2 linked regions of the Arabidopsis thaliana genome follow. The protein of the gene in region 1 interacts with the protein of each later gene in a pairwise test. Each region holds a gene or a part of one and is shown on either strand. Other genes may lie near its edges.

Region 1 (3,374 bases):
GGCGATTTCACGGCGACGGTAACAAGAAGTGGAAATGTAGCGTAACTGTGAATATATACCTTGAAAACCCTAGGGTAGAGGTATATATATATGGGCCTTTTTCTTAGCCCATATAACAATATGGGCCTTTTGCTTATATATTCTTAGCTTTTAAGAAATTTGGACGAGAATCAAAAGTTAAATATTCTTTTTTTCTGTCTGTTAAAATAAATTATTTGTTTGTTTCTATGGGTTTTTAAAGAAAATTTGTTATAAATTTGGCCAACTCATCCATCATATACTTATTAATGTTTTTATATAAAAAAAAACGTATGCATTTTAATAAAATCAGGTTAATGATTAAGATTAAGGATGGAAAAAAAAAGTAAATCACAATAAAATATAGAAATAAGAGATAGGTCTCCGATGAAATAAAAATGCATAGTCAAAATCAACGAAACAAAATGACCAACTCAAAGTCAACAAAATAAAAAGATTTTTTATTCCAAAACAACGAAACAAAATGACCAACAGTTTGTAGAAAAAAAAAAGACAAACACAAGTTTAAAACAACAAAAAGAAAAGCTTTTTAAAGCTCCACAAACAAACAAAGAAACACAGTTTAAAGATAAACGCATACAAACTTAGAACACAAACCAAATCAAGAGTTTAGAAATGATGATTGTTAAAACCCGGCCACACCATGTTGGTATTAGACGTCGTCGCATCACCATTGTTTTCTCCAGCGGTTGTTACATTAGGATATGGTTCTTGGCGAACACCATCATTAGCCGTTATAGTGTTGTTGCTCATGTAAAATTGTGAGTTGTTAATGTTGATTCCTTCGTTTATTCCCAGCTCACTTCTCATGTAATCAAAAGGATCTTGGCTTGGTTGATTCATAGCCATTGTTGGATTATTGATCATGCTGTGATGTTGTAAAGGTTGGGAGACTGACCCAGCCAAACCTTGGGAAGTCATCATTTGGAGACGAAATGGATCCATTTCCAAATGAGGGTTTCCGTTGCTACTGCTTCCTTGATAAAGACGATAGCTTTTAGGGTTTGGATTTCCGTTCTCCATTTGTTGCGGTATTTCATATTTAGGTGGACTAGGTGGAAAAACCCATTCATCAAAAAAGTAATAACTTTTACTCTGCTTAAATATATCGGTGTTGATGAATCTTGTTGCTTCATCTGTCCTTCCAGCTCTTTTATTATCTTGACCGCCTCCTACAAAACCATCATTTGTGGTGGTTTTGAACTCTTCGACTTGTATTTCAAATGGAAACACTGGTGGATCGCGAAGAGGAGGAAATTGCATGAAAGCTAGTTTCTTCCTACAAAGTAGGATAGTATCTCTTGAGAAAGATAACAAGGCATACATCTCACTTTGGTTAAGATCAGCAATTTCACGACCGCTTTGGAGTTGCATCATCAGCTCATCAATGACATGCTCCTTGTTCTTCTTTTTACTCTTCTTCAATTGTTCTTGAAACTTATGTGTCTTCTCTTTTAGGTAGGATTCGACATTTGACTCTTTCTTCTTCTGCACGGACTTCGGTAAAGCGAAAAATTCGTCTAGGAGACCATGAGTCGCCTGAGGAGATGGCCACACCAATGGTCCAACCTTATCGGGGCTGAAAATGATTACAATAGCCCTTACAGCACACAATATGGTTAGCTCTTTCACCTTTTTAAGTAATCCTACCCTCATTTTTTGCAAACTTGTTGCTCTTGACTTGTCATTCTCGATCCATACAAGTTTTACTTTCTTTCTTGTCATGATCACTCTTCGATTTTTATTTCTCTCTTTTAAAATTTTAAATGTTGTTGAGCATATGAATGAAGATTAGCGCGGGAATCCGTTTAAATAGTGTTGAAAAGATGAGATTTTGGAAAATGATACTAGTCAAAAGATGTAAAATTAATTGCTACTTACTAAAAAATATTGAATGTCTATGGTAATGTTTTAGTTAAACCAAACCTTTTAGATCTAAACCAAGTTGAAAATATCAACTCAAAAACTAGAATTTTCCTATGTTTTGGTTATAAAGTTATTTTCAAATATCATAAATACCATAGAAAATTGACTAAAAATGAAACTTATTTTGCTAAAAAAGTAAAAGTTTAAGAACTGAATTCAAAGCTAATTAAAAATTTACCAAACTATATTGGATTTGGTTTTACATTGATTATTCTTTAAAAACAATACTAGTAAACAAAAACTAAAATCCAAATCAAACCATTAACATGTTAAAATCTTTATGTGGTTAATTGTACTATTACAGAAAATTGAAATAACTGAATTTCTGTCCAAATTTAGGTCCTAGTCAATATACCAAATTGATGATTTAATTAATTGTTCTGTCATTATTTAATGCTAATGATTATATTGACTAACATTATTTTCATTGTTGTGAATCATATTAATTCATAGTGTTAGATAATTATTTTGGAAACTAAATGTTGACTATACATTTTCTTCAGTGTAAGTATCATTTTCATATTTACATAGTATGAATTAAATATATATATATATGTATTACCATATGTATACATAAAAGTTGACTCTTGAATTCTTTATTTATAAATTGTTTTTTTTACTTCAGATGTTTTCTTGTTATTACATTGAGACTCTAAACTGAGAATTGTTTATAATTGTTTTATACAAAAAACTGAAACAACAATACTTTTAAGGGAAAAATATAAGAGAATAATATATTCTTAAAACTCTAATGGACATCTTGTATCTTTTTCTTTTTCTTTGTTTAGCGATCTTTTTTCTCTCATCGTTGTGTTGTTGTGGTTGAATGTTTTCTTTTGTGTACGTAGTAACTCTCTTTGTTTCTCGATTTTGTTTTTTTTGGATTCGGTTTGGTACTACTTTGCCAGATTTCAATAATACCAAGATATAGAGGAAAACAATAAAACTAAGCTTTATTCCACATTGTCTGGTGATCTTTCATAAACAACATTGTATGATTTGATTACCAAAATAATCGGTTCTAGAAAAGTTTATGTCAATCTCTATCTAGTATATGAATCACCATACCCATATTTGTGCACTTAAATTATTACGTAACCAAGATATAGAAAAGTGTTGTGATTTCATATAACAAATGAAAATATAATAATCTATTTTGTTGTGTTTTGTATATATAATTATTATAAATTAAATTAATTATTAATATTGAAATATTCATGTATAACCCAGTCAGATATGGGATTATTTTTAATTTAAATTTTGTATAATACTGTTAAAAGATTCGAAATATAATCATAAACAAAAAATAAAATTGATTTTTTCTTGTCAACTTCCAATAAACACCATAGTAAACAAGAAATCACAGGACAAGGGAAATACAGAAACGGAGAACTCTTTTTAGTCAAAGA
Region 2 (3,632 bases), on another chromosome or scaffold:
GGTCTTGAAGGTCACTACCATTTCCTTCTCCAACTCATTGCTTTCGTCTCCTTCTCCTCGGCGCTAGCTTCTGCTTCGTTCCCTAAATCCTTCTCTGCGGCTCTATTCCTCCCGATATCGGTTATGTTTCAAGGATGCTGGTTCTTGAACATGGGGTTCATGCTTTGGATCCCAGAGTATGTTCCTAGAGGTTGCGTGAGTAACATGTCAACATCTACAGACAATAATAGAAGGAGTGTTTATCATAGTGGTGCGGTGGCTTGTGAGTCCCCTGGTGCTGAGATTAGGGCAAAAGCATTGGCGAATCTGCAGTTTAGTTGGATGTTGTCTGCTATACTTATCATTACATGTGCCTTGTGCCTCAAGTATTCCGGTAAAGTTGTGTTGCCTAAGATTAGGTCATCGTTGGAGTACGAGCGTCTTTGCCGGCAAGGAAGTGATCGTTCTGCAACCGTAACGGTGGAAGCACCGGCCAGTTCCGATCAACAATAGATTTTCCTTACTTTAATTTATCATCTGAATATGATGTAATATGTACATATAGTACACTAATAAGTAGCCCTAATAATAGTTACATAATTTATAAGAGGGGGCAGAGTGTAACGCACTAATGATAGTGGACCCTTTCGCATGCTTTGTGAACTAATAAAAATTTGCATATAGCAACAACTTGGTTACGAGTTTGAAAATTAAATTTAATAACTTACTAATATATCCCTAATTCTTGCTAAACAGAAATAAAATAAATAAATTAACACTAAAACTTGGTTGTAGATGATAATAACAAATTTATATGTTTTATGTCAAAATATAACCCTCACTTAAAATGATATACCTATGATTGAAAGGTTATTTATCAAGTACATTTAAAAGAGGCTGTACAAAAAGTACATTTATATAAGAGTATACGTTGTGTTGATGAAATATTGACTGCTAAATAATTGATCATGTATAACCATTTATTATTTTCGCTTGGCCGATATCAGAAATGATGGAAAGCTTTAGTGCAATAACAAATTTTGATGAGCGTATTATCGATGATAACACTCACCAGAATATATTTTATTTTTTTTACTATATAGTTGTTAAGTACATGTAATAGTTTTGGTATCTTCTGCAACGTAGTTTTGCGGTGAAAACTTTTGTTTTGTTTATGTCTAGCAAGAATTAGTGTTGTGTGTTGAATGTTGATCAATAAGATATTTAAATTTAATTTTCAAGCCCAAACTATCCTTTGTTAACAAAATAAAATAAAATAAAACTTTTGATTGAGCAGCCAAGTTTTTATCATTGCATATATGATATATCCACCTTACCTCCATAAATTAAAATACTTCATATATATATATTTAGTTGTAATATGTAGGGTGAAAGAAAGCTAACAGAGTTAAACATTAGGGTCAAATTATTAATTTAGGAGATAATATATTGCAAATTAAACTATCAGTTTAATGCAAATCTACGTTTTACGTACAAAAAATGCAAGATTACATCCATTCAACTCATTAAAACTCATGCAATATAGTAATATACAATAGTTTTTGACGGTAACTAACTGAATTTCAGTTACTCAAACATTTTATGCAGAAAGATTTTTATGATAAATTAGAAACAAACATTTCTATATAGGGAATTAACATCACGAGTCACGAAAAAATAATCATATCTCCACAGTTTATATGGTTTTTTACTTCTTTTTTTGTCTGATCAACAAAAATTTTAGTTTATTTAACAAATCTAGTATTTACTTCATTTGTACCGTTTTTCTAGTATTTACTTCATTTTCAGTATAATCTTCTTTACTTTCTATCAACTTTAATATTTCTGATTTTAGTTGAAAAATTTATTACAAACTAAATAAAGGATTCTTGGGAATCTAAAAGACTTTTAACTTTTTCCAATGTGTAATAAACTAAATAAAGGATTCTTGGGAATCTAAAGTGCTTCCTCTTCACTTTTCAATTTCCTTCTCTCCTTAACAAAAATCTCTTCTTGGCAAGAAACAAACACAAATGAGGAATATGCATACTAACCGGAGATCACCGGGTCCAATCACGTCGGCAGCAACTCAACGCCGGCTAAAACCGGAGCCAGAACCGACGGTGAAGAAATTCATCAAGATTATTCTCCTCTCAAGAATCATAGAAAAAATGATGGTACAGTAAAAAAATATTTCACCCACTTTTTGTATGTTCATCTTTTTCATTTAAAAACAATAATAATTGAAACTTGCTTGCATGTGTGAATTTTTGACAGAAAGTTCCGGCTAGATTTGTGAGGTTTGGTCCTAAACTCACTGACAACGTGACTCTCCAGACTCCTGTTGGTTTCAAGAGATCAATTCGGATTAAAAGAATCGGTGATGAGGTTTGGTTCGAGAAAGGTTGGAGTGAGTTTGCAGAGGCTCACTCTTTAAGTGATGGTCACTTTCTGTTTTTTCATTACGAAGGGGATTCTTGTTTCCGTGTTGTGATCTTTGATGTGTCTGCTTCTGAGATTGAATATCCATTGGATGATACTGATGATAATAGAGAAGAAGTTATGGATGATGATGAACAAGGGTTTACTGGTTTTGAAAGTAGTGATGATGATGGTGAAGTTGTTGATATGGATGAATTGTTGAAGAAGAAGAAGAAGAAACCAAGAGTCAACATTAAGTCTGAGAATGTCATAATACTTGGTAAAATGTTTATAAGACATTTCTTAAGAAGGATTTGTGGGTTTTGTTTGTATCTTTTATGTGATTTCTTGTTCTTCTTCTTCTTTGTTGTAGACTAGTAGATGATGTTGAAGAGATTGCTATGAGGAGTCTTGAGGAAGAGGACTTGAAGAAGAACTTATGCAAGTATGTTTCTCCGACAAAGATCTCTGCGGTTCCTAGCTCGTTAAACCACATAATAGTTCTTCGGTTTTTTGTTTCTGGTTTCTAGCTCGTTAAACAGATTTGCAAGCTTTAATTTTTAGTAAGAACTTGGCATTTTTAAGACCCGTTGTGTAATATGTGTAGTGGAAATTCTTGTCAAGCCTGGCAAGAACTTTGTAGTAAGAACTTGGCTAACTTGTGAGATCCTGTTATCAGTTTGTGTGATGTAATGTGTATGTCGAAAAAAAAGCTTGCCCTGTCTGAAATATAGCAAAAGCAATTCCTCATTCAAAAAAGAGAAATCCAAGCTTTGATTGGTAAACCTTAGAACGGTGAAATGATTCTGCAAGTTTTACACAATAATATTTTTTTCCCCCTTTGTCGTGATATTTTCACCATCTTACACCTCACAGTTAAACCAACTAGAACAAGCTTTGCCAACTACATTTATGGATTCACCCACACAAACCCATAATAATCAACAATTCAAATAAACATAATTATCCTGATGAAGATAAAAGTATATACAACTCTACTTTTGAACCTAGCTACCACTCAAACAAAGAGTTTCCCACTCAGAGGTTATTATAATCGTCAAATACTTATCCACATCCAAACATAGGAACCTGAAATTTCACTCAAAACACTACTAGAACAGAGACAACCAATGCAAGAGAGAGAATGGTTAAGAGACCCCTACATAAAATTTTAACTTTGGAAAGCTACCTGCAAGATCGCTGATGAAAGGGAAATCTTTTTTGGTCACACA

What was found. The genes of interacting proteins can lie anywhere in the genome.
Region 2: the proteins of AGL48 (region 1) and AT1G49475 interact in a two-hybrid assay, tested with the Arabidopsis thaliana proteins (one large-scale study listed by BioGRID).

What each region holds. Positions count from the first base shown.
Region 1 is NC_003071.7:16,792,565-16,795,938, forward strand, and holds AGL48 (AGAMOUS-like 48), read right to left. Parts: upstream 1,765-3,374; coding exon 649-1,764; downstream 1-648.
Region 2 is NC_003070.9:18,310,971-18,314,602, forward strand, and holds AT1G49475 (AP2/B3-like transcriptional factor family protein), read left to right. Parts: upstream 1-1,912; 5' UTR 1,913-2,012; coding exon 2,013-2,156; intron 2,157-2,256; coding exon 2,257-2,680; intron 2,681-2,773; coding exon 2,774-2,778; 3' UTR 2,779-3,129; downstream 3,130-3,632. Other genes in the region: AT1G49470 (transmembrane epididymal protein (DUF716)), read left to right, coding at 1-492; RTV1 (uncharacterized protein), read right to left, coding at 3,626-3,632.